3 linked regions of the Neodiprion lecontei genome follow. The protein of the gene in region 2 interacts with the protein of the main gene of each other region in a biochemical or structural test. Links are inferred from orthologs where the notes say so. Each region holds a gene or a part of one and is shown on either strand. Other genes may lie near its edges.

Region 1 (12,254 bases), on a different chromosome or scaffold from region 2:
ATATTTTATAGTAACAAAACATACTTGACACAAGCAATGAAAGAATGATCGATGATCGAAAAATTTTTTGAGCAAGCTCATAAATCGTATTTTGTCATGTGCAATTTATGGATTAAAATAATTGCGGAAAGAATTTAACTGTGATTTTAATGATGCTACAAAAAATGCATTGTTCATACGGCGTCGCTTCTTTAAAAATGTCGAATATTTATACGCAAGTTGTACATTGAACTAAGGATTGTATATGTACCGACTATTACAAATTGGTGAATTTTGACGGGATTCCGGTACGAGATGGCGAGCCCTTTTCTGAGTACCCTGTGGCACAATGTCCATTGCATAAACGAAATTACAACACACGGAGTTTACGTTTATCTTCCAACAGAGAAATGTGACACGTAGCGATATAACGGGTGCTCAAAACACACATAGTTATCGTTGGTATGCGAGGTTGACTAATACCAGGTGACGTGGTGGCAATATAATTTTCATCCCCCCCCCCCCCCGCCCTCCCTCCGACCCTCTGCCACCCACCCGCCCCTCTTTTCGTCCATCCCTACAACCGAGTGCGAGCTGACACTGCCTTAATATGGACAAATGCCGGACTATATCTCAGGACGGGTTTGCCTTGCATTATTTGCCTAACATCCTCATTTGCCATCCTTACGTACATTATATGCCCGACCTTTAGACACCCAGGAAGGAACGACGGGGCTGACAAGCAAGACAAGGGATGCGAGGACACGGGGGCGATCCTTCCCATCCTCTAATTCATGCCTTTCACTCCTGTGAAAGAAGGCTACAATATGCATTTTACAATCGTTTCTTGCTACTGCTTTAATTTGTTACTGCATTTGTTTGTAAACACTGTACGGTATATTCGGGTCGAAGGAGACACAGACACAGCGGTTGTTATAATTATGATAAACAAATACTGTTGCAAAATCTGGCGATAAATAACGCACTGCATTATACCTATACGTATTGAGTCAACTTTGAATGGGATTGCCGGATATTCAAACAACTGCAGCACGAATTGTCAAAACAATTAGCGTGAATATCGAAATTTATCTTCCATCAAGAGCTTGAACAAACTGTCGCAATAATGCGCCTAATGTATATATATATATGTATGAATATACCTTTGATAAAATCTTGAATTCCAAATAATGAGAGAATGAATCAGAGCAGAATTGATGCTGAAGGTCCCGCGTAATAGAATTTCTCAAAACTAATGAAGTGTAACACAATTGAATCTGTACTAAAATTACAAAGAGGTCAAATTTATTGGTTTATACGTAGGGGGTAATCTCTGGAACTACTAAATCGATTTCAATAATTTTCACTAATAAAAAGCTAAACTATCCTTGAGTAATATAAGTTACAATTCATTTTGATGAATTTAATAAGTTTTTAGTTTAAATTGTCAATATTTGTAAATTACGTCGAAAAAAAGCATTGCTTGACTGCTTTATCGGCGTGGGATAACCAAATGATTGGATATACGTGAAATGTAACATTTATGTGATGGATAACTTTAAGTTTCGGGGTTACAATGCCGTCTTTTGTGGAACTTTCAAGCGGAGAGACACGAGAGCAAATAAGTCCGTGAAAATTAACTATCAATTTTACAAATGAAAATACCAAAGCTATTGAGAGTCTCGCTCTGAACTTGGAGGATAGGTAATTACAAAGAATAACTAATTGTAAAAAAACGTGCTTGGAAAATTGGCAGGGAATATTACTGGAAGACGATTAGATTCGCAGATCGAGCGCCGTTAGCATATCACGGGGGAAAAAGGAGCCCCGGGCAAAAATGTTGGCACTAATAAACATTCATGCTTCGGCCGAGGGTGGAGGTTAAATCCTGATGCATTAATATCATCCCCATCTCGCCTCATCCCCCTTCGGCCCTTCTCTTTTTATAATTCTTTGCTACGTCGTTATCCGCGCTCGGGGCTTGCCGGCGGTCGAGAAGAAGGGAGAATGGGAAGGAAAAACTCCTGTCTATTTCCCTATACCCAAGGGCACGAAAAATAATTACCAGGCTCAACGTAATTCCTGTATTTCCAGCGTTTTTCCAGTTATTCGCCGCCGAAGCATCGCCTGCTTATATCAAGACTGAACCAACCCTGCCGCCCAGTATTTTTATAATGTTTCTTTCCATTATCGTGCTACAGACTTAACCCTGATTAGCATGAATACGACATGAATTCAACGTCAGAAGTACCCCGAGGGTCTTAACTTAACTCTGATATTTCGAGACCTTGGAGAATTTCTTTTTTCAATACTTTAAATATCACTGTGTATGGCTCTGCGTTTGATTGAAAGTATACAAGCTTAACTCTCGTATATTTTACCCTATAATCGTCGATCGGAATACGACAATTTTTATTTTTTCAATTATCATCTCAATTTTATTATCTTTCAAGATAGCTATGATGCATCATTTCTCAACCGAAATTAATCGCGAAATCACATTTTATAACGATTCATCAAAAATTCGAGAATCACATTAATTAATCGATTCAGGTTGCAAACGACGTTTTTCACAATATAAATATAAACGGTATTCCGCTACGGTATTTCATGTTATACCTAAGAAGGATTGGGTGAACTACAAGTAACTATACACACTACGAGTAACTATGAATATGGAAGATTTAATGTACGAAATTTTTTTTTTATTCAGCACGATGTTACATCATGATTAACAATCGGTAACTAAAATCATTGTACAATAACACTTTCGTTCCCGTCTTCACAATAAAATCAATAAATTTAATCTCTACGTCGAAAGCAATTACTTCGAAAAAACTTATTGATCATCGACCCTGTAAACCACTTCAGAAAAAAAGGAAATTTACATTAAATGAGGAAAAACTATTTACTCGAGTAATACTATAAAACAGTTTTTGAAAAAAACTATACACTGGAATCGTCAATAATTTCGCATAGCCATTGCTTGGAAAATCAGAATGGCAAAATTTTGTTCAACTCTTGAATAATAATAATATTAACTATATAAATAATCGTCGTATACATAAAATCTAATCACATTACTGGAAAAGGCTTAAGTGTTAATTATAGGAGTATAAAATTCTTGAGGAATCACTTTTCCAGCAGGTACATTTGGTAAAGCTTCTTGTCTTTTTCGTTTTTAAACTTTGGCACAAAGTTGATCTTGACGATTTCGGTAAAGCCTTCGTCCATCGTTGGCGGCTTAAAATTCTTTCTGTAATGTTCATCATTCATGAGGTCGAAGTTCGTGCAGAATCGTAAGATCAACAGTAGCAGTAGCTTCACAAATCTGATACAGCGCCATATTACTTGCGACTTTGTGTCACTAACAATACAAAGGAAACAACATCAGATCTCAAATATACCTAGACTAGCTATAGTAACGGCGTTGTCACATTTTCGCCCAACCACCTGTGTTAAGACTACAAAAGCAGGCTGCCACCCTTAGTGAAATACTTCATACTGCATCAATTACCAAGAAAGAAAAAAAAAAAAAAAAAAAAACTTTACCGAATTTTTGTAATAGAATTTAGTCATTCAATTAATCGACTTTATATCATAACACTACATTTACCGTCACCTGAATTATATCTTCAGTTATTTCTGTCAACAGAATGTAATGAATATGACTGTCTACTCACATGTACGCGTGGATTATTGCGTCGCTTATCGTGTCATGTAAGCTGTCTGTGAGCTGCCGAAACTATAATAAAAGCAAATGATTTATAACTTACTTAAAGTTGTTCCACAACGCCTTCTCGTGAATCGATTCTAAATTTCTTTGTATAACTTGTACTATTAAGGATTTAATAATCGGTACCTTGTTGTTATGTTTTGTATGCTCGAGTTCCGTCCCCATTAAGAAACATCTCACCGGAATCCCCCGTGCCTTGGCAACATCGATATATTTCTGTCTGACAGTTGGATCTGGGTTAGTGTTATCCACAACAGCACTTTTGCCCTCGGATAGTGCTTGTTCCAATGCTGAAATACACTTTTGCCAACTGCCCAAGGTGTCTCGGTTTATCCGACGGTAAGTAGGCAAGTGTACTTTAGCAAAGTGTGATTTACCTGAACCAGGGCTGCCGACCATAATTATCACCTATTAAGAAGTTAATTTTTTGTCACATGGCCAAAAATCAATTACTTTTGTTGAAAATTACAAATACATTAACATCTGATAGCTGAAATGAAAAGTTGAAACGACGCGATACCTCCTGCTTGTCTGATTTAAGCTTAGCCGTAGGAGGGTCTGTTACATCTGTATTTTCGGTCAATTTCATTGGATCAAATTTAGGTAGTTCCCACGGCGCTGGCTTATGTCCCAAAAAATGTTCCTCTGGTGTTTGAAATTTTAAACCCAAATTCAAAGCTAATAATCGATCGGCACTCGAATGATCTTTCTTTTTTTTTGGCCCCCAATCTTTCTTTCTTCCAGCTGCATCGCCGACAAAAAAAGAGGAATCTTTATCCACAGTTACTCCTTCGTTTTTCTAAAAATTTATATTGCATTAATATTATTCCCCTGAGAAGCTTTCGAATACATCAATCATAGTGTAAATTGAATTTAATCTTGCACACATACATGGTTAACCAGCGAATCCCACATCCCGGTCAACGGTTTTCTGTATATACTTTTTCCAGTAGCTATGAACACCTTTTTTACCGAAATATTTGCGATTATTTTTGGTTACAGGATTACAATTTCCTTCGTTACGTAGGTCATAAAAATCATAACTGCACCTGTATCGGAACTCCAATTTTTTGGACAATCCTTTCAATTTTTACTTTGAAATCACTGGGTTTCCACTTTCCGAGACTAAGTGATCCTTGATTTGTAAATATTACTATTTTATACCCTTCCTTGTGTAATTTCTTCAATTTTCCGGGCACCTCAGAGAAAATTAATTGCCAATCGTTATGATCTTTGGGAAAAACATGCCCTGACTGCGTCTTTATCAAGGTACCATCCATATCATAGGCTGCTATCTTTGAAAACATAAAATACATTCGAGATTTCTTTTTTTATAGTTTAACACAAAGTTTTTACTGTTTAAATTGAATGATGAATATTTATTTGTATGGAAGTTCCCTGACTTTTAAAGTGCGACGTTAACGAATTTTCAAGACCAAAACTATGCTTCATTTTCTTCGAACTCTAAAGTACCTAATGATTCAATTTGTATAGCACAACTACGGCTATGAAATTCATTTAATCACGTACTAACTTTGGATCGTGCTACGACACCCTTGCTTGTATATATTAGTAAAGCCTTATCAATGTCTTCCCAAAGTTCTTGCTCTGTCGGCTTTGAATTTTCCTGACATTCCAAATCCTCCGTTTGGTTGCATTCTCCGCTGCCGTTAGCTGGCACGTTATCTTCTACATGATCTTCAGGAGTTTGCATATCTGGGTCGATATTCTCATCTAGGATTTTGAATTTCTTAGCTTTTGCTGATTTACTCAGATTCACCCCATCCTCTTCACCATCGGAACTAGATACGTAAATTCTCTTCTTGAGACTGCCGCTCTCGGCCTTCTCGTCCGGCGGCGGATTGAATTCTATACGGTATTTGTACTTATTGTAAAGCATTTCCAAACAGTCTCCGTGTTTGGCGATAAATTTCACATTCTTCTGCGTTTTGAAGCCGTTAAAGCCGGACGAGTGAGAGCCGACTTGTTTGACAAATACTTTGTAATCCGCATAGCTTGCATAAAGCCATACTGGTGAATTCACATGAAAAAAATAATAATTCACCAGATATATTCACCTAATGTAAAAATGAATAATAAAGCAACTTGAAACAATGATTATGAAAAAAGTACGATTTGTTCATAATTCGCCATTCTATTTGACGTTTTTCTTGTTGAATCAAACATTCTGGTGAGTGAGACGGGCCTACAGGGTCCGAATTCGAGGCGAGAATGTGTTTAGATTGATGTTACGGTCATGTTAAGCTAGGTTATGGTCGAAGGAAAACTAACCTTGCTGCTTGGAGCACTTAACGTCAGTTATTTGGGTGGCGACGCTTCTCCCGACGAAAGTTGGCGTTTCGTCAGCAAGATAGATCGGCGGCAGCGATTTGTCGTCGCTGAAAATGTAACAACTTTGCGGAGGCACGCTCATCTTAATTAAACAACAGAGAACCGCGGAGATTTTCGTTGTAGCCGAGAAACACGCGCCGGAATCCATTTACCTTGCGAGTCAGACGCGGCTGTAGCTGATCGAACGCTGCCAACAGCAGCCAACAGCAACGACGCGCGACGCACCGTGCCGGAGTTTGTGATTTTCCGCCTGATTCTTCGCAGATCGTAGGAGCACGATTGTGGTGATTGGAGGCAGCTGGATAAACGCGGCGGTATCGCCGGTTGCCTACGACGCAGAGTAAGGCAAGTGTACCAGTTATTGACATACACGTGTAGACCCAATTACTGATCCTTTTATTCTATAAAATTATAAAATGACGGCGCAAATTGTGAATTTTTCGACGGCTAAAACCAATTTTTGCCAATTTTAGAACTAAGGATCAAACAGATACAACCAAAACAGGTCAATATTTTGGACAGGATCATAACTGGTACACTTACCTTACGTGGCACAATCCTCTCGCGAAATATTTTACTAGAAGGTTCTTTCAAATTATTTTTAATCTTACGTTTTGGTTTTTGCCGATTATTAGCACTGATCCCGCCGCGACGCGGACGAAGTGGTAGATATCGCATCCTGTAATTTCAACCATTTCGGGACCGCTTGTGCAAGGTAGTATAGTCGAGGATTGCCATTCCTGTCCCAAAAAGGAATTTCTATTTTTTCTATTAACCATTTCGTTTTGCGTGTGTAACCCTTTTACTCTCCGCCCCCACGTTCCTCTTCATCACTCACTGACATGACGGCCGAGCATATCGTTTGGTTGAGGTTTATTCAATTTCCTTTTATTTATTAAGATTTTGTTTTTGTCCGTTTCTAGTGTCATGGCACTTACAGTTAGTGCCTGGCGCCCAACAATTCTTGCGTTATTATTTTTTATTGTCAATAATTACTTTTCTATTTATTTCATTATTTCGTTTCTTTCGGTATTTTATTTTAATATTGAGTATTCGTGAAAAGCGCCTGTGCGAGCCTTTACTTCCACGCAGGGTGAATACATACATGTATGAAATTTTTAATTTCTTATGGTAATACATTTGCAATACGCAAATATGTATCTAATGTAGATCAAACTGGGTTATATTCCTTATGCCACAGAAACTCATTGAACTACTTTTAAATTTTAATACAAACGTAAACAGTAGTTACAGCTTAGCACGTTCAAATGTTAAAATTTAGTCTAGCTTATCAAATAATTATCCGACTGACTTAGCGTCACCTGTATCGACATAAATTTAAATATATTGTCAACAATACAAAGTAGTATATAAAGCGATTAGAAATGAATAGAGCCACATTCCAACAAAATGGAAAACCAACGTATTATGTTTGTGGTGCTTTCAATGGTAGTATCTTGCTGTTTTGGAACGAAATCAACTACTACGTCTGTAACTCAGTATGGATCCGTGAGTGATTCGTCGCGTGTGATTCAATTAAGCGAAGAGTATTCGCTACTAGAGTTGGAAAGAGGTATCAATTTTTGTTTTACCCTTATGAGGGATATCGGTACAAAATTATCCGATGAAGCGGACAACGTTTGTCAACATGATTTCTACAATATCATGATGACCCGAGACAAAGCAAGCGGTGCATTAACGATGGGGTTGGATAATGTTATAAACACATACATAGCTACAAGGCCAAAAACGCAAGCTTCTTCACTGGATAGTATGGCTCGAAGCATTGTACGGTCTGAAACAACTAACTTTATTAATAATGTGACTGATTCAATCATGGAAGTATCAAATCTACAAGGTAATCGTAGGGATTTTGTAGTGGAGGCTAAAATCGCCGAAAGACGCAACGCCACCCGTTCCGCATGCATCACAGCGATTAGAGCAACTTTCCTGCCAATACAAAGGAACGCAGTCCAACCTGGAATGGAAGCTGTTATTGAGAACGCCATAACTAAAGCAGCTGCCGAATGCATTAAAGTATTTGGTTTTGTTTACGATGGAATTGAAATTCTTACGGGTTTTAGTTCCGACGATGGCGATCGAAGAGAGGACTGTTACTGCAAGTTGGAAGAAACACGACAGAAATCAATGCTCCCACTTAGGTCGCAGACAAAATATATGTACGGTGTACTTCAAATGATTACTAGCAGTGATTCATCGAGCAAAAATGAGTTGTTGCAAAACTTCTTTGACCTTGATTCAGTCCAAAAAATGCTGTCTGTCAGCCTTAGATCAGGTATTGATAATATTTTTGATGCAATGGAATCGGAGATAACCAAAACTTCTTGCAATGAGAAAAGTTCATCTGATTGTAAATCCTCCACGATTGATATTGCTGAAGATAAAACAATTGCCGATTTCCAGAAAGCGGATTTACTGTATCTCAATATAATTTCATCACTTTTCGGAGAATCTTCATCGACTTCTTCTATGACCTGCCAATCTTCAGGTTTTACCAACTTATCGGAGCAAATAGTTAAAAACATATTTGCAGTACTTAGATTGAACCAAACCGCAAATTGTACCGCATCGCAACCTACGATCGTACACAGGAGAAACGATTCACTTGCTGCTGCCAAAACTTCGGTGGAACAAAGCTACGCGATGGTAATCAAGAACGGCCAAAAGTTTCCCGAGAAAATTCAACGTGCGTTTGACGCTTCCAAAGCGAATGCGACCAAACAATACCAGTTTGCAATAAATGACATATTCAATGGACTTGAGGCCTTTCATTGCAGAGGTTCTCAGAATGGATCTGATGTCGTCTTATCTGAGATCCAATTATCTACTACTCGTGCATACTTGGATGTTGTGAGCCTATTTCAATACATGACCAACAATTTGCGAATTCTTGCGTTGTATAATGTATTCGGTCTATCCGAACAGACGGATATATTATTAGAAATTCAAGAGAATCAGGACAAAACTTACTTTGAATATTCCACTGAATTCAATCAAGTGTTTAATATGATTGCCGAAATACAGGAACAAATTAACGCCGCAGTCCGAACTGGAAAGGAGGTTCATCTGCAGTGCAATAATTCTAGCACGGCTCAAGCTATGAATATGAAATTGTCCAATGCTGTCTTAAGCACAGCACAAATTCCTCTTAACTCAATTGTAGAGAGCAAACCTGATGCTTCCGCCAACGTCGAAGTAGCTCGGCCGGAAGTACGTGACGCAGCGAAGAATTTACTTGCGGCGGTGAATAACGCAATACAATTATACTGCTGTCAAAACTGTACCAACGTCCTAGATAACTTGACTGCCATCCTGGAGGATGCAAAATCTTACAGTTCCCGTTTCGTCAATTCTACTTTCGAGCCATTGGTTTGCGACTCGCCGAGCAATAGCCAAATTGGAATTAAGATCGAACAACAACGAAATCACGCCAATAAAGCAATTTTGAATGAAGCTACAACGGGATTTGCTGGAATCAAAGCTCTCCTCGGGCAAATTTATCCATCTTCTAGGATTGGTAACAAATTGAGTCGACTTCTCGTTGAAATTTCACGATATTCTTTCCTTCTCAATAAGAAAAAAGAAGTCAAATCCGAGTACAACGCTGTACAAGACTACTTTGTGTATCAACTTACTTCTACGAGGCAGTCCAGATATTTACATTATATTAATGAAATACAAACGCAACGAGAGATCGCATACGATGGGATGTCCGAAGGAATCAGCACCCTATTTGATATGTTCAAGAATGACGCTTCCAATTCACAATCTAATGATACCATTATCATTGATCGCGCCCAGAACAGGACGTACATTTGCATAAAGAGAGCAGTTGACGCAATGCAAGAAGCAGTAACAAGAGTCTTCCACAAAACTTCTTCAGCTGTAAAAACTGTCCGGATCCCAACGTATGTCGCAATAAGATCAGCCACTTCAAGTATTTATGCCATCGTTCAATTGATCCTACAAAGAATGTTTTCTGGAATCTACCGTGAAATTGTAATCATGCAAAGAACAGTAATCTGCTTATCCGAAGTTATCGTCAAAAACTTATTTATACCTATGCGAATCGACCAGGAAAGCCATAAATCCACACATGAGCTCAATAACGCAGAATTCTCAGCGGGTAACCAGAGCGAGGCTGCATTTGAAACTATGTTCGCTGCATTTGAAGACTATACGAAGAACCTCCGTCCCGAAAAACATCCTCGTTTTAAATACTACTCATCTTCAATAGAAGTCGCCAAATCAAGAGTGATAGTCCATTTTAAGGCTATGTGCGATGTTGTCTTCAACTTTATAGTGAACTGTTTGATGAATGAATTCATGGATAATACCGCCCTTGTTTAAATTATTATCATTATTATTATTATTATTATTTATGTACTTAGTGCAAAATCACTGAATCTCTTTGACACGGAAGCTAAGTAGACATTTCGTTCTAGTAACTCACAGCTGAAATCGGAGGTACAAGCTAGTTTATAAAGGAAGATTTACATATTCATTTCGTAGTAATTTTCTACGCAGTAAAATTCTGCTGCCTGGCCCGTCAACTTTTCTACTGGAAAATAACTTTATCGTAGATACTGTCTTCTCATAGAATAAAAAGTACCTATTTTTGTGATGAAAGCAACTTCAAGAGAACTGAATTTGTGCATCTGCGTTGGTTGAAAGTCACTACGGAACTAACATCATATTATGTTACATTTTACAAGCCCTATTAACTGAAAAATATCATGTCTGACAACACTTAAAATTAATAATTTAAATAAAAATAGGTATGTTATTCAAATATAATTTTTATATTCCTTCCTTTCATAAAATAGTAATGATAATGTTGATAATGATAACAATAATAATAATAATAATTAGAATAACGAGGACGAAAACACCAACAACAACAACACTAGTGATAGTAATAGTAATAGCAGTAGTAGTAGTAATGATAATAATGTAATGTATCTTTTGCAAATCATCAATTTGATTCAACCTAAATATGACGTAACTGTACGAATTTTTATTAATCTCTGTATTATAGTAACTACAAATCATACATCATACATCAGACGTCACATATCATACATAGTATTATAGTCGAAACCAAATTTTGGATGTGCGGATGTTCGGATGTTCAGAAAGTGACGTCACCCAAAATTTTTTTTCTCTTGACGTCATCGATCTATAGTAACCGTCGACGACGAAAATTAGCTAGCCGAATTCCTCAGTCTGGAAACAACCGCGCAGTAGAATGGACGTATGAGAATCGCGCTCCGCGGATTTCGAGTGCCGGGTTCTCTACCTCCTGGATTCTACGCTCCAGGTCCGCTACCTGATGAAACACGACTTCCAGGACAAGCGCTCTGTAGTTTCTGCGCTCTAGGTCCGCTACCTGATAGATCTCGACCTCCAGGACTCGCGCTCCGTAGTTTTGGCTGTCCAGGTCCTTGATATGCTGACTTTTGAATTTTACAAGTAATTTTCTGTGGTTTCTGCGCTCCAGGTACGCTACCTGTTGAAACTCAACTTCCAGGACAAGTGCTCCGTAGTTTCTGCACTTCAGGTACGCTACCTGGTGAAACTCGACTTCCAGGACAAGCGCTCCGTGGTTTTGGCTGTCCAGGTCCTTTACCTTGTGGATTTCGACATCCAGGACTAGCGCTTCGTAGTTACTGCACTCGAGGTCCGCTACTTGATGAAACTCGACTTCCCGGACTAGCGGACTAACATTTATTACCCATTGAACAATCCTCAAGCATCGAGGGCGTGAGGTATCTGGTAAATCTCGTATCATCTGGTAAAACACTGACAACGAGTAAGCGAGCGTAGCTAGCGCACGAACACAAAAACCAGTTACACTAAGGCATCCGACCCCGGGCGAGCTTTAACGAGTGAGGGTTTTAAAGCTACTATAATACGATGTACGTAAGCAATTCCAAGATTCGATATTCATCAAGGCAAGTCGCAATTCCTAACATTCTTAGGGTTTCCAAACCGTTTAATTCAAAACTAACTAGATGCAATTTTTATACAAGAATTACCCATTCTAGCTTGTCCGAGTCTATCTGGGTCTCTCACACTAAGTAGTAGTCGCCTTAGCGAATTACACTGCAAACTTCGCACTCACCGGAAATCGCCCAATTTCCGAACTTGTATTTCAAGTTCTTGT
Region 2 (10,217 bases):
CTAAAAATAGTTTTCGCCAAGAATGAGTTTGGCATTTGTTCCATGACAGGAGAGTAATATAGATAATAATTCTAGTCGGTTTTATCAAGAGTCATGACTAAAGAAACCGATTATTTTTCGATATATTCTCACGAACGGAACCGTGACGGAAATTTCATCTTCGTCAAACATTCGATCCAATACGTTAACAATAAGTTCGAATTTTCTTTACTTCAAACTTCAATGGATAAGACAGTCAACAAAACGCCGCGAACGCGGTTCAATTTCTAAAATACCTTGCCTTGACCCGCGAAGTACATACTTTGAAAAAATGCCTGTTTATTGGAGTTATGTTCCATAGTTGGCGACGGGATAGCGAGATCAATGCGCGGTATTTTTCCGCGCCTCTGTAGTCGGAGTTCGGAACTAAAACCTTTCATCACAATTCGTACACATTTCCGGATCCGGGAAGCGAAGGCTGGTCTCTTTCATATTGGATTTGATAGCGGACAGAGCTCGTCGTTTAGGCATCCGAAGTTATCGGACCTTTCTAGAGTGAATCTAGAAATCTCTATCCATTCAGGATGAGAGCAAAGGTGCGTTTAGTATAATTATATTAATAGTTTCACCCAATTTTCAAGATTAATTATTCCAATTATTACGTATTTCCGTTAACCTCGAATGGTCGTTATTTTTGTTCTGTCGAACCTTTTCCATTACCGCATGTTTCGAATGGTGATGAAAAGTGTGCAATTGTGCAATGTACATTTTTCAGGGCCATAACGCTTTTCGTATTTGTGTCAATTGTAATATTTACGTATATTAACGCGTATTTTCAAATCCACGCGTCGCTTTTTACCGACGTGGCGTCGGCAAAACCCAGTCTCGACATTTATTTAGTACACTATGCGCTGGGTGAATTAATCAGTACATTTTTAGACAAGTGTTTTGAAAAGTGTAGCAGTAATGAATTGGTGATTCGAAATTTGCATCGCGTGGATTATTAAGCAAAGTAATTGAACACGTGTTAAAGAATGTGGTGAAAATCATTTTTCGTAGAATCTCTACCTTGAGTATTCACACGCGTGTAAAATTTGTATTACCCATACTTATGTACCGCGTGATTTACATCAACAAACTTTGTATAAAAAGAATATTGAAAAAATTCAAATTTGTATTTCTACGTTTTTTTGGCAGAAAATTGACGTAACGAATTCATTTTTCTCAAGTAAATATGACTTATTGTTTGAAACAGACCAAAAGTTAATTTGTTTTTGTTCGTCTATTGAAGTAGTGATTTTTAACTAAAAGACTTCGACATTGAATTATAACAATTTCACGTTTTTAATTCATCTCTTCGATTATAACAGTGGCGTAAGAAGAGGATGCGCAGGCTAAAGCGTAAGAGGAGGAAGATGCGTGCAAGGTCCAAATAAATCATTCCACCATGACATTTGTAAGTATTTTATTTGTCGTTCAATTCTATGCCACGATGACTTGTCATATCTAAGTTTCATTGATTATGACTTAATATTCAGAATTTAAATAAAGAAAAATAATCCAATACAAGTTTTCATGGATTATTAATTTTCTAGAATACAAGTTGATGAAAAGTTCTCATCTTTATATTGAAGTTTTGAGATATCTACTGATTCCCTGTTTTTCACTTTCAGGAGTAACATGGATAATTCACTGACACTGGGACAACACTTCATCATTGTTTGAACAAGAGCAAAGCACTAGATGTTCACAACTACATCCTCTTGTGGATCCAAATTACAAATAATGTTATCGACGTGGAAGATTTAATACTTAAAAAAACATTTATCTTGTTTTGATACATTAAAACTACGATTCAAGATATTGAAATAATTTATTTGAACCCATTCCATCCATTTTTTTTGTAAAAGTTCAGAAATTTTCATCAAAAAAATTACTTTCATTCAGCGAAATAAAGAAATAAGTGAGTTTTATTGGATCAATTGATTTGCTTGGTTTAAATGTTCAACGTATTAGACGTGTGATAGGCTAGATTCTGTGTAACATAAATTAGACCACTCTTAAGCTTTCTTACTTTATGACATATCTCTATCGTTGGCATTTCTTTTCATTTTTAATGTAGTCGCGTTTTACGGGATTACTTCGGAAATCGAGTGTTCAGATCATGTGGATCATAAATTTTCATGACTTGAAGAACTATGTACTATTGCAATATCAAATTCGAAAGTATTTATTCTAAGTTTCGAATTCACTTCGAACGTGGCGTCTCCCAGTTCATCAGGGAGGGGGGGCGTTGTCAATTATATATATATATATCTGTTGGCCTGTTAGTCGAAGCGGGAAATTCTGAAAATATACATTCAGAGATCGTATTCCCTTAACATTTTTTACCCAGCCAACGCGTTACCGCAAAGCTTTTTTCATTGTGTGAAATTCGAACGAATTCTGTGCGATTACCCCACCACGTAACTGTTACAGTCCTACGAATAAATCAATTTTGCCTAAATTTAATTGATTCGGGGTTTCTCAAATTAAAGTTTCCTTCACAGATGTTTCGAAAAATAGCGTTAAATTCTTAATTTTTTTCAGTTTTAATTTATACATTGTGGCGCATTTATCGTTAATGAAACGGAAAGATTTTTCTGGAGGATGATTTGAATCCATAGTATTTAGAACTAGAAGCAGATTAAAATTTGAGAAGTCTTAAAACATATTAGGTACTGAAGACTTCATCAATTGCTTGAAAAATTTTGCTGAAATTTTTAATTCCAAATGTCTTGACCTAGACTGAAGAATATATCTTTAATCAACGGCGTGGTGAATCATTTTACAGTGTAAAAATAATTTTCTGATTAAAAAATGTCACTATCTGTCTTTCAACTGGTGAAATACTTGAGTAACTGGGATTGAGTAATTGTTCATCACTTATAAGTACATTACAATGTTTTGTTTGTATTAAAGAAGTAACATTTTTTCACGCTCCTACTTGAAAAACTTTACACAATAGGATTCAATTTTTTCTACAAACAAGTTTTTGAATTGGGAGTGAAAAAAGAATGTTGCTTTCAAAAGAAATATACCAATATATATTTGTAGATACAACATATGAAACATGTTTTCTTCATTATGTCAGCTTCAGTTTTTAATAATCAGAGTCTGTATCCTGGTCGTATATGCTAAGTGGGTCTGTAGATCCTGTGTCAGCGTCCACTTCTTCCTCGCTTTCTGGCAGGTCTTTTTCTTCCTTGTCAAGAGCGTATCGCCTCCACGGAAATCTGAGAAAAGTAGCAATATCTTTTATTTATTCCCTGAAGAATGTTTAAGTTGCATTATGGAGCATCCAATTATTGACCTACCTCGTTTTCTTATCGTAGCAATCCTCCACCCACTGCTGATCAATGATTTTAACACTTCCCTTCAGCTGATTATACTTTGGTGTATTCTTAAAAGCACAAACCAAGTGCGTACAATTGTGATTTCGCCCATTAGGATTAACAAGGTACTTGGCTCCCATGGCGAGTGCTTTTCGCCTTATTTCGTCCCGTTTCGGATTTTGATATCCACTGAGAGAAAAGGTCACATTTTCGAACAGGGCACTAAAATTCTTAACTGGCTTTTTAGGTTTGGCTGGTTTTTGCCTTGAAGCTCCATTTGCCTGGTCTTTATCAGGTACTAGTAAATTACAAGTCTTGCATAAGACATTCTCCTCATTGCCCAAGCACAATGAACACCTCAGTCTGCCTCGATTTATGCTTTCTGACATCGTTGTTCGTGTCTCTTGCAAAATGCCAATGGAGTGTTGTTTAGAAGAACTTTCCATCGGTTTTTCATCTTTGTCCGACAGTCTCCGTTTTTTGATCTCATGTTTTTTGTCCGTCTCAGTTGATTTATTTTCATCAATTGCGGCATTCGCCGGAGTTATTAATTTAAGAGAGAGTCTTTTACGGCTTGGAGTTTCATCTCTTTTCTCATTGACAGCGACAACGCGATTGCTCTCGATCTGTTTGGCGAGTTCCACCTTGAAACTATTAGGCTTAGGCTTCATCAGCTGAATGTATTTTTCCTTGAATTTGTCTAAACTGTTGTCGCCTTTGTCCTCCTTGACTTTGAACCTGCCAAAAGTGTCTAGGTTTCCTGAGTCCAACTTATCGTCTGTGCGCAGAATCAGGAACGAGAGACCGAAGAGAACTCTGGGGTTTGCTGGCTGCGAGCAAGTCACCTTCACCCTATTGAAAACCCTATTGAGAACCTCCGCACTGATTTCCTTTTTTGTAAACAGCTGTACCTGGTCCTTGAACAGACCGTGGTCTGCATCATTGAAAGACATAAAGGTATGGCTCACAATTATCACCCACTCCTCTGGAGCATTGCTACTTGCTCCGGCGATCTTCACCGAGCAGCACCGTGAGTTTCCTATGTCGACTCCTGTTATCTGCGACGGCTCTGCCAGCTCAAATATTGCTTCTGACTCCTTGATTCCTGGCTCCTCGCAGAGCCAGGTCAGAGACCCGATGCTGCCCGAGCGATGTTCGCACAAATTCCTTGCCGGGAATGACGGGTGTTCCGAACTGCAGCTTACCAGCTTGCCCAGTTTCACAATCATTTTTTGGTTTTTCTTAAGTACCCAAATATTCGATTAATAAAATTTGTCAAATATTGTCAGTCAGTCTGGTTTAACTCACTGACTGTTAATTTTTAATTCGTCCCGTTGAAACCAACAAAATTCAAACTGCTTCATCACACCGAACAAATTCTTTTCTATACTTGTACTTTACTGTTTTCAAACTTCATCTGCTTTTCATCATACTTTCTGTCAGTTGTGTTCCTAACCTCGAAATATTTTCGTTTCCTGCTAATAAGTTTTTCGGCGGTCTGGAGTGGATTATCAAACGCACCTTATGTTACTTACAGTGGGTAAGGCAGCATGGTAAGGAATTGCTCCTAATCTGATTGATCATTCCATTCTTATGCTGTGAGTAATTTTGCTTGCCGCCTATTTAACTTGCTTTTTCTAGCGCGAATTATGCATAACAATAGAGTTGTAATATACACTATTTTGTTTCATATTATTTCTGAAATACTGAATACTATTAAATTAGCACGATACACTTTTACAATTAGAGGTTGAGTAGTATATGTTTTCTGTAGTAAAATTGGTGAAAAAACATTTGCCACTATTATTGAACACCTATATGTGAAAATTTCCAAGAAATTTACGAGACGAATGATTCAAATTTTGTTTTCAGCACTTTTAAATGATTCTAACACTTTCCAGATGTTTTAGAGCTCCGATCAAGATATTGAAGTTAAAAGTGAATGTCGATACAAAATTCCTAGAGAATCAATTGACAATTACACCGACAGATGCTGAGAACATTTCAAAAGTTTTGTTGCAAAAATTCAAGAAAGTTAGAAAAAGTTAGAAAAAGTTAGAAAAGGTACTGAACTCCTGAGAAATTACCTATTGTCCCGAAATCTTCGTGAAACTTCGTATGCCATTATCTGGAGCCTTTTTACAAAATGTTTATCAAAACTCTGTTGATGTTCGAATCGCGTAAAAGTCATCAAAGTATAATGAGAAATAGTCAGAATTTATGGAACTTGTTTAGCGCTTTTAAAATCTGCGAGAACTTCATCGGAAAACTCGAAAATATCAGTTGAAAATAATTCCGCGACGCATTACAATCTTCGATAAGAATCCCGGAAAGTTCCTTAATTAAAAAGTAAACCAAAGGGGATGAGGGAGTGAATTGCTATTCAATTTTACACGTCCAGAGTTCACTTCTCCTAGTGTAAATATTACGAAAAAATAGAAGTCTGACTGTTTTACGGCAAGATGCCTGTAGAATAGCCAAAATAATTGTTAGCTACCGCTGGCTACGGATGTAATCTTAAAATATTTAGATGTACCCATCATAGTGTAAGAAAAAGACTCAGTCGGTAAAGGAAGCATTTTTATATACTCTCGGAGCATGAATGATCCAATCTGATCTACAATCCCACAGAACCTGTAACAGAACTGACAGAACGTTCATTTCGTATTGCTCGACGTATATTGGTCACGAGCCTCGCGGGTGGGGGGTCGAACAGGCAGAGCCGCGGCCGACGAAAACCGAAACTCCGGGGGTGGCAAGCGAAGCAATATGGCGAGATGTGTCGTCGACGTAGGGACGGTGAGGTGTCTAAGTGAAAGAATGGTAAAGATGCAGAGAGAGTCGCGAAATGGGTTGATAATGATGTAGTGGATCGTCGAGAGTGCGGTGAACATTTAACAAGTGTAAATAGAATCAAATCCGTTCGTCCCGGTGTTCCGTGCCCTATAAAATAAAAAAAAAAAAAACGGTGCTGCTGAAACATGTCTTCTACGGATAAAATAAAGGTCGCCGTTCGGGTTCGCCCGTTCAATCGCCGAGGTTGGTAAAAAGATACAACAGAATTTGCAGCGACGTTCGTCCACAGATTTTGCAATTGCAGCGTCGGTAATCCGCGACGTTAAAGATCCATTAAAATCCACATTAACCTGCTGAATCAAATACTGGTTCGCTGTACAATCGGGCAGCGCGCGGCGGCGGCGGCGGCGACGGTTCTCCGCCAGCGCCGTAGATACTTTCCGAGAAGTATATCATTGATTTCGCATCCTAAACCGACGAAACTGGCATCGCCAGGAGATTGACAATTATTGTTTTCCACATAGCATAGCTGAGTTCTGAACTGAACATTTCCGTTCGATCTGTTGTGTGGAGCGAGAAATCCAGGCCTCGTAATTTCAACCTACAATATTTATTTTGCGCACACACAACTTGAACCTAACATTATCTATATCGGCGCTTCAAACTTCGTTCACTTGTGATTACAAATAACTGCAAACAGCCACAACCACATTCACTAATCGCTACCGCTTTCCCCTGTATCTTTATATCGGCCTCTGTACTTCAGGCAGAAGAGAAAAAACACCGATCTGACGCGTGGTGCTGGTTGAAAGCGTATTTTTTACGCACGCGAATCGCGTCGTAACGTTTCGATGAGTTATTATATTCATCCATGAGTCTACGGACGTCAGGCCTACTTTCTGTCACCCGCCTGGCTTTGTCCTTTTTTTTTGGTAATCTTCAACGAACATAGCTCTCGGTAGTAGGCAATTCTAGTCGATTTGTCTGTTTCATGCCGATCGGACTGCTCGAAACAATAGCGTAATGATTCGTGTTTTGAACAGTTCGAAATGCTTCAACAGTCCGGACAACTTCAGAGTGCTCTTCCAGCCCTCGAGCACAATGACAACGGTCATACTACAAAAATAATGATAAAAAACCGCCTTTAGAATAGACGTCTGCGAGCATTTCAATTCGAATTTATGATAGAAAGAGTTCAGCACAACGGAGCCATGTGCAACGTGAACAAATAAGCGAAAATAATTGAAAATCGCAATTGTATCAAACTTTTGAATTCTCAGTTATGTTAGGTAAACCATAAATTTGGTTCTGAATAAACCGAAATGAATCGTTTTCAATTCCTTAACTCTTACAAACTAATCTTAATGTTAAATATTCTAATTTCGGTTGTGTTTCGTTTGGTCAATGTCACAAACTTCAATTTACGAGAAGAGTATCACACCTCCAGGTCATGGATTCTGCTGAAACTTCTAAGGATGTTTTTCTGGCCTAAAAGATGTACTAATCTTCTTTTAAAATTTGGATCAGGTTTTTAAAAATTCACAGTTACTTCACTACGACTCTGACATAATATATTAGTTCGCACTTGATTTGTGGTGGAATACTATCGCTTTGAAGGTTCATGAAAGCGCAATGAAAATTAATATTTAAGACAACAACATATAACAAGTAAACTGCTGATATAATCGATTGTGACTAACGTGAAGAAGGGCCTATTAGACGAAAGTTCAAATCACAGGCTTCGTATTTTAGACCAAGGAAATGACCCTAGAAGTTTCAGCAGAATCAATCATCTAGAGGCTTTATCGAGAGCATTATACACTCCTTGTCAGCGTGTAAAATAAACATGAAATAGTCAAAAATGCGAATTTAACGATTCGCGGACTGTCTGAGGCCCCGTGGCTCGTCCGTCCGGCATAGATGGTGTATAATAAATACACCGCGACATCTGATTATCACTTCACCTGCCTTCCGAAGGCCACCGACCAAGCAACCGACGACACGTTGTTCCAGCCTTTACAATGAGTGATTCAATGTCGGCGCGGTAAACTGTTTACGTAAAAATAAATAAATTGCGCTAACCTGATGAATCGAAACTACCTGCCCTGCCTGTATAGCCGCTTTTGTATCCCCATATATACATACACACACACGGATACCCACATATCTACGTAACAACACAGTATATAAGCTCTGTACTCTGACCCTGTAACGCGATTTGTATATATCACAAGGTGTTTCAAAACAGATAACGTCAGATTCAAGTGCAGCAAGATTACTTTTTATTACAGTTATAGTATACAGTCTGAATTTATATGCAAGGGAAAAATGGTTGATCTTCTCAGTTTAAGAATTCAAAAAAGGTGGGCAGAAAATCGATTCTTTTTAATCACATTGTATACAGAGTCACAATAAAAATTTTCTTAATTGACCAAATTTGACGTTGGTTTTTGTCAAATTCGTGAAAATTAGATCACATAATCGACTGCATAATCTTCAGTTTTATCGAGTGATATTTTGTTATCTTGGGTAGCACCTGGTATCTGAGAAATTACAACTATAATTTTGGCGTTTATTTCCTTGATCATTCATGACTTTGAGAACCTGAAGTAGTTGTTCAGTGACTGATAATATTACCAGCGATAGATAAAGGTTATTTTGATATAAGACCTGAAGCGCAGGCTTTGCACCGAAATAAGGTTCTTTATCATCACGGCGGTTGATTTACGGAATACGTGCGTGGGTCCTGGTAAAAATCAACACAGCCTATTGGCCCAAAAGTAGTCCCGTCAAATCCGTAACGGGATTTACTTGTATAAACATTTTAAGAATGCCTGGTGCAAGAACTTTCTATCATGATTCAAGCTTTCGCAGTATATATATATTCTTGTCAGTCGTGAAACGGAATATAAATTTTTCTCTGAATGTACTAGTTTCACGTTATTATACAATATCGCATGTTTTTTCGAACTCGAAATAACATCGGAAATACTGATACGTTTTGTTATCGTGATCTCGGGCTTGAGTCCATTGATAAGTGAATAAAACGAGACAACTGAATCATTCGATCAGAATCCATTAGTCGGTTAGTTCACGTGCATTATCCTCACTCTGCAGCGCAGTGATGACAAATCTTGGATTTCCATAAAACGCTTATCGATCTCAATTATCAAAGGCATAACATTGAAACGAGAATTCAGTCTCAGCGTCTGTAAGATTCGAACTTCACAATCAATATCCATGGGACGAATTGTTGAACGAAGCAAAAAAATTTGTCGAATTAACGAAATGCGATAAAGCAGCGAAGACGATAACTAATTAGGTGACTCAATCATTCGGCATTTGAATGAAGCGAAAATTTGTTAGAATCATTGGAGAAAAAAAACGGAATCAATGTTTATCAAAATTCAAACCAATTTCGATTAGTCAGCACCTACTTAGTTCTCTTAAATTTACAATTAGCGGAAAGTGAGAATGACATGACTCGGTCGGTAAATGTAGAACTATGCTGTTGCATCCTTTTAGCGATGAGTAGAGTTCAGTCAATGAATACGTAGGTATATGCCTTTCTATTGTGTTCTTGTTGAGACGTCGTGAAAATGCTGCACTAAATCGATACGTTTCGTTAGTTTGAATTATGTTTATTATAGTTGGATCAATAAAAGAACAATATGAGTCACGATTGGTATTTATGCATGTTTTTTTTGTTTCCTTTCATTTTCCCTCACACGTAGAAAGTTAAATGTTAATGTTCAAGAAATTGTTTCGTCTTGCTCTGATACGGTAAATGCGATTGATATATCATACATCGAATCATTTATACTTTGAAGGTATAGGATACATAATATCTGACTTGCTGACTGAACTAATCATTATTTTTTATATTAGTTTATTATAATTTTAGCATAGTGAATATTGAGTGCAGTCAACGAGTATAGTTAAGTTGTTCAAAAGAGGTTTATTTATTCTGTTTTAAAAAAAGTCCTTTTCCTAATTTGAAACCAGTTTCGTTTACCTAATGTATGAACTGTATTTCCTTGTATTATGGAAAAATTGCTAATGACGATG
Region 3 (11,277 bases), on a different chromosome or scaffold from region 2:
GCTTGGCCATCGAAAACTAAATTCTCTCTGATACACGTAAGCACTACGTTGAAAATTCATTTCTTCTTATTTCTTCAATTTAGCAACAACACACGTGACGTTTTACGGAAGGAAAAAACTTAGTTACAATTTAACAATTAGTCAATTGCAGGAATAGGAGGTAAATTGCAGGAATAGGATGCATATCGATGGTACCACCAGTAAAAATGAAACCTTAGTCAAGATCAAGAAAATATAAATATAAGAATACTATAAATTGATAATTCAAGTTATCATGTTTTTCTCACCTTCGAATACTATCAGCACATCTCTGCAGTAACTGAAGCACGTCTAACATCTTCTTCTTATACGGTACACCAAATCAAAGGATGAATTCTTCGTGCATATTTCATCACTCAACTCCCGAATATGATTTTTGCAACCACACCAATCACTTCATTATTTATGCACGTTTCCAAGAGTTTTTAAAAATATGTCACGAAATGTTATAGTATCTAATGGTTAATAGTGTGAGCTCGATCAAGATTCACAAAATGTCACGGATTATCGCATTTTCCATTGTGTAAAAACAGTAGGTGTATGATGATAGCGTAAAGAAGTTGCGCAATTATGCAGCAACAATGCACATACACACGACATGGCACAAGCTATATTATTTAAACATAATAAACATGATTTTCATAACCCTCAGACTGTACAAGATCGAGATATAAGTAACATAATATGTGAAATGTAGCAACCATTGATGAAAAGGAAAGGCACAGGACTTCTAAAATGAATAAAAAACATACTCGCCTTTTTCTAAATGTTGACATGATACGTCTGTCTGCATCCAAGATCCGTCAAAAATTTTTGGTAATTGCTGATGACACAATTATCAATGTTGTGTAGATATCTTGAATACCTTCTTCTTTCTTCAATTTTCAGTATGAGCTGTCTCAGATTTTCAGAGAAAATTCAGCTATCGTTCTTCTTTGAAAATTTTCAACACACTTCCAACACACACGATATACCAGGAGAGACACACGAGAACTCCATAAAAATAGGGAATATTTATCAATTGTGTATGCAAAAAATAAATCAAATTTCGTTGATCTAAATCGCAACACCTACATGTGGGATATTCTTCGCAATGCTATCGAGGTACGACTGTATCGCATCTATATTAATTTTCACGGCAAAGCTCATCATTTAGAAAACAGTGTCTCGACCAAATTTGGTCACGTGCGGCATTGAGTGCCTTACATAAGCGTGGTAATGTTATATCGACAACACGTATATAAGATTGTTTTGTGGACAGACAAAAATTTTAAGAACAATCAAGTAGAGAGCATTTACAATTGGATACAATGCTGGCAGAATCGAAATTCTCTATGGATTAGACATGAAATTTCTCTGTCCATGAAACAAGAATTTCAACATCGAAAGAAAAATAACAAAAAGGGAACTGAGTATACCCTTATGAAAGAATATGCATATTCACATATACAGCATCAACTTACATAAATTTGAAATATTCTCATACCCGATCAAAAATAAATTTTGACCAACAATCTGTGGTTTACATTATTTATGCTGTATAGCAACGGATTTCCTTTCATATAAGCATACAAAAACATGCTCTTATACTACGCATACATCATATATGTTATAATAAAAAGCATCTAGCAATTTGTAGTTCCAATTTATTAATTGCCTGAATATTAATTTTGTAGCACACAATTCAGACTCGACACATAAAAAAAAAAAGTACAAAGCATTGCTATAATCATAATCTTTTTTTTTTTTCTCAACTGAGTATTTTCCAACTGAACAAATTGCTAAAGGCCTGAGCCAAAGATGGTTGTGAGGTGTGTAGGTGGACACAATTCATTTCGTGCCCTGTGCACCTTAACAATTAAAAGGTGACTAACTCTCCAGAGTACCCATCTAGGTTGTTTGATCGCAATTTTACATTAACACGAACCATGGAAAGTACAAAAGAAAAACCTATTCGGTTTGAAAAGATGATTAAAAAAAAGTTTCCAATACATATCCCATCAGAATCCCATTCAGAAAAATAAACAACCTCATTACTTAGAAGAGTGAGTGTTTGCGCATGTTTGTGGATTTCACAACGAAACACCTTTGGCTCTCAATGGCAAGGGCAGTGAAGAAAAAATAGGAAAACTCACCCAGACTTGGGATCACCGTCGGTTGTCTGGGGCATAGCCATTTCTGGCATTTCCACGATTTTTTGCTGCTGCAAGCCGGACGGACCCGCTTCGTCGCAAGCCAGGGATACATTTACAAACGTCGTAGGTTCAATCGTTCTACTATTACTAGGATCTTCCTCGCTTTCTTCCTTGACAGGTAGACCTGTATTAAAATCAAAATGTTCAAATTAAACACAGACTCGAAATCAATAATTAAATCAGAACACCATACTTGTCAGTTGAATACAACGTACGTTATTAAGATTAGAAATAAGTTCAAAAAACATTGAGCTTATTCTAGGAATTTTGAAACTATTAGGCAAACTAAATGAATTTCTTCGTGTACCATCATCACCATCGCAATCATCGTCAGAGTTTTCTTCATCATCGCTAGTTTCCTCTTCCTCGTCCTGTTGATGCGTTGTTGCATTAGTTTGGGACTCGGCAATCTGTTCATGTCCAGGTTGACTACTTGGACCAGGTACAGCCTGTTGGATAGGTTGGATAGGTTGGATGGGTCCAGTGCTTGTATCCATTGGCACAGCAGTTAATTGCTGCTGTGTTGAGCTGGGAATAATTAGCGGCATGCCTAGTCCCATGTTGTCTATAACTCCTATACCAATGCCAGGTTGAACTCCAGTCACCTGTATTGCTGTGCCTCCCAATCCGCTGGAACTGTTTTCTTCTTGTTTCATTGTACTCTGCGAACAAAAGTCATAATCATACTGTTAAAACTATGTATTATGGATAACCAACAATGATTAACTAGGGTTAATTAGATTTGAATGTGAAACTAAATGCCTGCACAAGCTTTTGATTGAGTTTGTAAACAGATCGCAGATACTATACCTATTTGGGAAAGATTGTAATATTTCGATAAAATTTATTTTGTATTTAAAAGAACGTTCTCAGTAGCAGTGTCACGATCTCTCTACATACATGTTGATCTAACACCTCTTTTAATTTTTGCCACTCTAAAAGTTCATGTCTAATACAAGACCACTGATAAAATTTTCGAATTGCATAGTAAAAAGTTTGGTGCAAAATAAAACTACAAAAATTTAAATGAACATAAGCCATTCAAATGAACAACCCAGTACACTTGCCAATAAAAAAAGATAAACTTGATATTAATTGTACCCTAATGTTGGCAGAAGATGTATCTCAACAATTATACTGCATTAATAGTTTAATTAAGTGAGTATAAACATACGTGTCCAAAATATTGTGGTCACTGTTTACGATTGTCAAGGTAAACAAGAAAAAAATAGAAGAGTAAATATGAGATTGTCATGTGTTCGATTTCGTGTTTCAAACACAGTCAAACTGAAGCAACATTGTTGTGTTTAGGGCAGATGAGTTAAATTACCGGATTTAGGACACCAGTGACATAGCCTTGCTTGTCCTCCAAGCCAACTTCGCCAAGCCATTGGAGTAGCTGCTTCTCGGCGTTTGCCGTTGTATTCCAAAATTGGTAAAGTAATTCTACTTTGTAAACGCAATCGTCGCATATCTTTTTAGGTAACTTGTCTTCCCGTGCAACCTGTAATAAAATTCATTTGTAAAATGCAGTTCGCTCAGAATCGCGTCTGTATTCATCTATTTGTACATATCATAGTTGTTAGAACAGCATTCGCCAATTAAAGTAGAATTATATACATAATTCACAGGAATAGAGTCCGGGACGCCGTAGCGTCCCTTTGTTAGGAATGGCGTCGGACCGCCTGCCGTAACGACGCGGCACGAGCAATAAGGAGGGAGGGCGAAGAAGGGGGGGGGGGGGGGGGGGGGGGGTTTGCAGAGCAGAGAAAAAGAAGGATCGATTTTACAACCACAGAACAGCAACACCGAAGCGGCATTTCACGTGCGAGATAAGAAACTGTAATAGCGGGAACAGTGATCGAGAACCACGCTGTGTACTCGATACATACGGAATCGATAAATTCATTGTAAATGGTAGGAAACAATAACCGTGACAAAATGGCGACCGTATATTGGCTGGCATAGAGCGATGGCGTAGTTTGTAGGCTTACCTTGACCGGCAAGCAGGCCGCAATCTTTAAAAAAATCTGCCTGACATCACCCTCACCCTCGAATATCGGTACGGACACACGATCTTTCATTAGACACAATCTGCACAAATCCAAATAGTCGAGGGACGACATTGTTCCACGTAAAACGCCACTTCGAGACGCAAGCCGCGCCCGTAGACGCGTTCGTTCCTTGAACTTTCAACAGAGACCAAGCTCAGCGGTGGGAGGCAAGTAGTGCCGGGCTGCCGGATCCGTTGAGGAGTGTGGCGACACTGACGACATCCCCCCCCCCCCCCCCCCTCCGAAACCTTCCGGGAACCGGCTATCGATTGGCCTGCGATGCTTGCCGAGCTTTACCGAGGCGTCTCGACGCCAAAACGAGTGTCACGAACGTCGGGTTGTGGACGATAAACGGCGATAATCGCGCTGGTGACTGTTAGCGACGAACGTCACTAGTTTAATATCATTGTACTAAATCTGATACGTTTCTAAAGTATTTATTACATTTTTCAATTTCAGTACCCGAATACGAAAATGACTCAGAAACGTATGAAACCCTCATTTGGAAAAGTAAACTCCTGACTATCGCGCCACCTGGAGACTGGAGAATGTTGCGTTGTTGTTGAGAAAAAATAATGCGTCGAGTAACAAAGGCAAACAACCAATTCATTAAATGACAATTTTGTAGATTGAGTTGTGTTGGGTTGGACGATCTGTTAATCGACGAAATGTTTTCGACGAATTCCGCGCAAATCGTGTTCAAAATATTTAAGCAGTGGTGTAAGAGTACATAAAAACTATTGTTTTACTGTATAGTTTTATAAGTCAAAGCTGTGACTCATACGATACGCTATAAATCAAAACTGTGATGTTCGTATGAGATGAAAAAAAAAAGAAAAAAACAATAAAACGCTAACGTGTTTACGTATTTATTATGTACTCTATTTGAAGCGACCGCCAATTTAGTAAGAAAATGCCAAATCTGTTACGATGTGGCGCTGCCGTCTAGTACTAAATGATTGCTCACTGTGGCAACGGTGAAGGCGACTGCTGGCCACGGCGTCGCAGTTGAATTAATTCATGTATAATGTTTCGATTTGTCTCAACTCACTACTACAATAATGCTGCCACCGCGGTACTCTGATACCGAACAATTAATAATTTAAGACAACAGACATTCCGTCGGGACGATTCTGACGCGGTAATCAAAAAATTATGTCGCAGCCGATGTATTCGCTTATAGCGCTATACATTTCATCGATTGCATGTATTATTCTCACAAGAATATGTACTTGACGATATTGAGATTAGATTAACACGATCTCTGCGGTCTCAACCCATCAATACACCGATACGTTAAATAAGAATTATCACGCATTATAAGACATGAAAGCGCGATAATTCCACGTTTTGACACGCATCCCAGTCACAAATCCTTACACTATGTTCTCACAGTCAGCTGTATGCTACTGTACAACTCGTTTCCTCAAAATATAGCGTATAAACTCGTAGGACACTGTCGTAGCTTTGGTCGTAACAACTCCACGTTGGGGTTGACCTTGACAGGAGGCAGCAACTGAAAGATTAAGAGATACGTAGTAAATAGGAACTTTCTAATTAGTGAACTTTCAAAATAAAATAAATTTCGAATAAGCTGCAGTGGTTCTTCATAAAAATTGTAACTAAAGAGCAGTTTCACTTATGTGATAACAATTATTCGACTTCAAATGCTGTAATTCCAATAATAATTCTAGTTTCATGTCAAGTTGGATCCACTTTTTTCGATATTAAGTGTTTGAATGAATATTTTTTTAGCGCTGCTGTCCGTATCATCAGCAACCAACAGTGTCATACTGCCGTTTGTTACCGACAGTGGACATAAGTAGATATCGCCACAGGGCTTCTGTAATTCTGTTACGGATAGTGTATGTTGGTAAATGTTCCCAAAGGTCTTCCGTGGTGCCGACAACAAGTATTGCTTACAGTTCTACGGTTCGTGTACTATCATGGTATCCCTAGCCGCCCTCGCCGACAAATACTTTCGTGTATACAATTGTCATCTCACTTCTGTCGAAACCTACGTATTTTCATATTCCTGAAAAGGGCACAACGACAGGAAAAAAGCAGAAGATTACGAAATTGCAGCTTTTGGTAGCAATTGAAAAGTGTAGAGGTTATACTCCAATTTGACAGTTCGTTTATTGCTTTCACGGCGATTGGCGATTAATAATTTTGAGATCCCTGTCAAAATACAAGAAAGATGAGCAAACGAAAGGCACCCGACAACGCAGACAATCTAAACAGTGATCTCTCCGATTTTCTGATAGGTATACATCGCCTCAGTTTCATTGAACTTTGACGCGCACTTACTGGGTGAAAGTTTGATGATCATTTTATCCAAAGTGAAAATGTATGAAAAAATTTGCAGAGCTAGCAAATTACGAGCGGAATGTCAGTAAAAACATCTACAAATATAACGCTTACCGTAAAGCTGCTGGAACTTTGGCTGCACTATCATACCGAGTGAAGAATGGTGAAGAGGCAAAAAAGTTGCCAGGGGTTGGAGAGAAGATCGCAAAAAAAATTGATGAGTTCCTTCAAACCGGAAAATTACAAAAACTTGAAAAAGTAAGTTATCATCAGTCATAATCTATAGTAACATGTGTAGGTCAATATCGATATCCTTAAACTCTATAGAACAATGAAATTTCATAACGCAGCTGTATTAGGATTTAACCTTGTATTTGTCATTTTCAGATTAATGCTGATGGCATCAGTGCTCCTATAAACTTGATGACCAGGGTATCAGGAATTGGACCATCGAAGGCAAAGGAATTGGTAGATGCTGGTATAAAGACTTTGGAAGACCTGAGAAAAAACCAAGATAAATTAACACATCATCAGAAAATTGGTTTAAAGTATGATTTTTACTACATTTGGAATCTTCCCTACCATTTTCGTAATCTCGAAACAATTTTTAATCAAGCTATTTCAAATTTTTTCTTCCTCATGATGTATTTGCAATAATTTTTTCCAATTTTTGGCAGGTACTTTCAAGATTTTGAACAGAAAATTCCAAGGGAAGAGGTGCGGCGACTCGAGACCAGTCTCAAATCAGTGATTGCTAATTTAGACAAAGAGTATATACTTACAATCTGTGGTAGTTATAGACGTGGAAAGGATGAGAGCGGCGATATTGACGTCTTGATAACACATCCAAAATTCACATCCGAAAGTATGGATGCGAAAAATAAAGGCGGTATGCTAAAAAATATTGTTAAACATCTTGAAAAGGAGGGAATAATCACAGAGACTATCTCTATCGGCAACACAAAGTTTATGGTATGCAGCTATATTAACAAAGAATATCTTGATTTGCATCAACACAGACTTAAGCATTGTCAAAATTGGAATTGCTTTCAAACAGGGTGTTTGCCGAGATCCAGCAGAATCGAGTAAACCATTTCGCCGACTTGATATCAGAGTTACTCCCAGCGATCACTACTACTGTGCCGTATTATATTTTACCGGCAGTGATTTATTCAATAAAAATATGCGGGCACACGCACTTAAAAAGAAATTTACGTTGAACGAGTATACCTTGAAACATCTAACATTGGAAGGTACGGATCAACATGCAAAATCCGGCAATCAACTTTAAAGTTTAGATTAATCGACCCTTTTACAATTTCTATTAAAGGGTTACCAGGGAATGCTGAATTAATCACAAGTGAAGAGGATATCTTCAGTAAACTTGGACTTCCATACAAAAAACCGGAAGAGAGGAATTCATAATGCCAAAGATTCACAAAATGTGATAATTCCAGGCCATGAAAGTATGCGCATCATAACATAGTGCATACGTATATGTATATAACGTTCTTTATTAATTCGATATATCTGGGTAGAAATCATACAAGACCTCATTAGCGTTGAGATCTATATTGTTATGAAATTATTAAATACTAATATTTTCAGCCATATTCTGTATCACAAAACGAAATGCGTAAATAGAAACTATATCTTAATATAAACTGAATTGGTCCAATTCTTAGCCTATTCTCTTTATATCTCTGTTACTGAAAGGTCAATAGTAATTATCGGTATCATGAGATGCCACACCTCATTTTAACAGTTTGGTTGAAACAAAATATTTATAACAAAACTAAAAATGCACCGCAAGCATATGCATGCGTATGAATATGTAAATAGTGTTGGAGAATAACATAAAATTACATATGTTATATTTTACTCAAACTACAACACCAATAACAAGCATTTACCCAAATTAAATGGGATTTGTCCAAAGCGGTAAAATAATAATTACATCTAACATAAGTATCGTCGATTAAAACGCTAACCATGGGGCCGATTTTGCTGTGCTTTCCGTTCAGACTACATCGTGACCCGACGCTCGCCTAACAAAAAGTTCACTGTCAGTCCCTGAGACTGACGCCATGCTTAGCGTGTTATAATGCCAAAATCAGTCAAACCAGTTTGAATGAATCTGACGAACATGGTCGGTTATTAACTCAAACACTTTTCTGTCAAAAATTAATTCTTACTAATTGGAACGAGTCGCTAAAGTAAATTATACATGTGGGCTAGTACAAACAGTGGGTGTATATTGCCCAAAACGACAGGCTTAAAATTAGATTATCATTTTTTTCATTCCACTTAATTATTTGACCAATGGTTTGGAATTCTGAGCTGAAGAAATTCCAAAACTTTCTTCTCAACTGTGGAATAGATAGGGTTGTGTCTATACTGTGAGAATAATTTCTTTCTTGTGAAGCACATAAGCAATAATGGCCCAAAGCGCCGTGGTCCACAAGTTTAGTGATAATACATTAGCATGCGTCCTAACTCCATTAATCGTCAAGGTCCAAGGAAATACTCCCATCGTAAAGTAATGCCCCATATACAAGAATATAGCATTTGTACCTGAAAAATAGTGAATGAAATCAACACGTATTACTTTAATGCAAAACAATTCAGAATAAAGTATACCAGAAAAGTTGGTAACTTGCCTGCGTAAAAGAACGGAGCTCCACTCCACCAATGTTGAAGATCAATCAGAATGTAGAGAATTGTATTCATGGCAAATGCTATACTAGATGTTGCGAGCACATAAGACAACGACATCATCGATTTATTCACAGGAATAACACCATCTTCTTTACTGAAGTTACATAAAATACCAGCCAAAATACCCTGCATAAAATAATAAATAATTCATACAGGTTTTTTTCAGAGTTCAGTATATCTGTGATCAATAGCTGTAATCTTACCGTAACCACAGACCACAAAAGCCAACGAATCACACGGGACTTTGCTTGGTGGTACGTTAGCATGATTCTACCAGCTTGAACACCCATATAAACCAGTAACACAGCTGAAATGGTGCTCATAATTCCTAGATGAGAGATAAGAAGGAGCACATTATAAGCAGTCTGAACTTTGTAGGTATGTAACAACGATACATTCGTGAGTCAATAATTGGATGTGCGAACCTTCAGGGTCATAGGGTGGGTGTTTTCCATAAACTCCGGACTTTTTCATATATATATGGTTACCGAAAATAGTTCTGTCGATGTATCCAGCTGCTCCTGCAGTACAATTAGCATGTGCTCCATGTTCATGAAGTCCACCTGGTCCTAAGTATCCTTTTGGACAACCAGGAACTGGTAGAAGGAACGTCAGGAGCAAGTGTGTGGTTGCAATGGCAATAATAACCAACCACTGCGCCCAAGCATCCAAAATGTCTTGGAGAAATTTTAGTCGGTCATACTGCGAATAACAGAATCCTCCCTCATCAATGGTTTGTTAATATTAGCATAAACATCACAGCAGATCGACTAATGATTCATCATAGATATTAAACAATCAGTTCAAAAACCAGTTTTAGAGCCAACCTGAAAAGTTCGTTGCGCCTTGGTGAATATAGCTTCAAGCGTCGCGCAGATAAAGTACGATACTCCCAATAATTGTAAGATTCCTGGAAATCTGAGATCGTTGAGTTTCAGAATTACGCAATTCTCAGTTGTTCTGGTTAGTGAGTTGATAACCAGGCCAAGAAATATCAAAGTTACAGATCGACAAAAACAACGTAAAATAATCCTGCTTCGGGATATAGATATCCTAAGTTGGGTACGCAGTGAAATTATTATGGTGAATCCCATGATCCATGCAAAGCTAAAATCAATCACAAAATTGGAGATCATCAAAAAAAGTACTTCGACTGAAAGTAACAAGAATATTTGTAGAGGTTTGTTTCATGCTTACAATGGCAACACCAAGTCTGCCAGTGTTATTCCATTCCATGGGCTATGATTGAAAAACCAGTATTTACCCCCACCATTGTTGACGAATATCATCAATAAAATCGCAATTCTGGGAAAAAAATTCATCCTTGAATTACATGAGGAAAAACCGGTTTGACCTGAACCATTAGCTAAATTTGAGATTCTTGTACCTAACAGAGTGCTTCGTAATCATTTTATTTTTTATACTAGTCTTACTTGAAAACCAGTATTTACCCCCACTGTTGTTGAATATTATCAATAAAATCTTAATACTGGGAAAAAATTCCTTCGAAACAAATTACATTAGGAGAAACTGGTTGCCCTTACACATAAGCTTAGTTTAAAAAATTTGTTAAACATTTTTGGGACGTTGTAACACAGTGTTTTGTTTGTTCAAGATGTTTAAAGTGCTGAAAATAAATCGAAAAAAATCCCCCTATCGTGGGCCAATGTCTGCATAATCGAAATGAAAAATAAAATTTTTCAGAATTTTTTCTGATTTTTAAATAATGCTAATTTGTAGATTAGTTTGAATAATTATAAAAAATTAATAGTTGTAGGAAAATATTTAAATAAACTCAGGAATGCTTTTTTGAAAATGGAGAATGTTATAAAAAAAAAAGGAAACTCATCGGTTGAGTTGCCATTATTTATTGAATGCCCCATTATATAATTATACGTTACCCACGAAAGGTGTCCAAAAATTTCGCTCGAGTGCTAAATCTGGTCACCCTCTCTATAGGC

The links.
Region 1: the proteins of DNA repair protein XRCC1 (region 2) and uncharacterized protein F21D5.5 form a complex in vitro, tested with the Homo sapiens proteins (3 studies listed by BioGRID and IntAct, with this or other methods). The link is inferred for Neodiprion lecontei from reciprocal best matches to the Homo sapiens genes XRCC1 and PNKP.
Region 3: the proteins of DNA repair protein XRCC1 (region 2) and DNA polymerase beta form a complex in vitro, tested with the Homo sapiens proteins (5 studies listed by BioGRID, with this or other methods). The link is inferred for Neodiprion lecontei from reciprocal best matches to the Homo sapiens genes XRCC1 and POLB.

What each region holds. Positions count from the first base shown.
Region 1 is NC_060262.1:30,639,468-30,651,721, forward strand, and holds uncharacterized protein F21D5.5, read right to left. Parts: upstream 6,289-12,254; 5' UTR 6,216-6,288; coding exon 6,008-6,215; intron 5,747-6,007; coding exon 5,250-5,746; intron 5,011-5,249; coding exon 4,765-5,010; intron 4,679-4,764; coding exon 4,607-4,678; intron 4,515-4,606; coding exon 4,236-4,514; intron 4,124-4,235; coding exon 3,842-4,123; intron 3,725-3,841; coding exon 3,663-3,724; intron 3,347-3,662; coding exon 3,112-3,346; 3' UTR 2,669-3,111; downstream 1-2,668. UniProt on the Homo sapiens protein: Plays a key role in the repair of DNA damage, functioning as part of both the non-homologous end-joining (NHEJ) and base excision repair (BER) pathways.
Region 2 is NC_060261.1:13,220,814-13,231,030, forward strand, and holds DNA repair protein XRCC1, read right to left. Parts: upstream 4,969-10,217; 5' UTR 4,583-4,968; coding exon 3,336-4,582; intron 3,255-3,335; coding exon 3,122-3,254; 3' UTR 3,043-3,121; downstream 1-3,042. Other genes in the region: kinesin-like protein KIF13A, read left to right, coding at 6,335-6,392. UniProt on the Homo sapiens protein: Scaffold protein involved in DNA single-strand break repair by mediating the assembly of DNA break repair protein complexes. Negatively regulates ADP-ribosyltransferase activity of PARP1 during base-excision repair in order to prevent excessive PARP1 activity.
Region 3 is NC_060264.1:26,376,399-26,387,675, forward strand, and holds DNA polymerase beta, read left to right. Parts: upstream 1-5,599; 5' UTR 5,600-6,488; coding exon 6,489-6,555; intron 6,556-6,631; exon of another isoform or gene 6,632-6,640; coding exon of another isoform or gene 6,641-6,656; coding exon 6,657-6,856; intron 6,857-6,985; coding exon 6,986-7,146; intron 7,147-7,275; coding exon 7,276-7,570; intron 7,571-7,655; coding exon 7,656-7,851; intron 7,852-7,928; coding exon 7,929-8,023; 3' UTR 8,024-8,641; downstream 8,642-11,277. Other genes in the region: zinc finger protein 62 homolog, read right to left, coding at 2,175-2,358, 2,542-2,896, 3,565-3,738, 4,229-4,360; heparan-alpha-glucosaminide N-acetyltransferase, read right to left, coding at 8,991-9,172, 9,259-9,442, 9,520-9,644, 9,742-10,018, 10,144-10,423, 10,514-10,621, 11,218-11,277.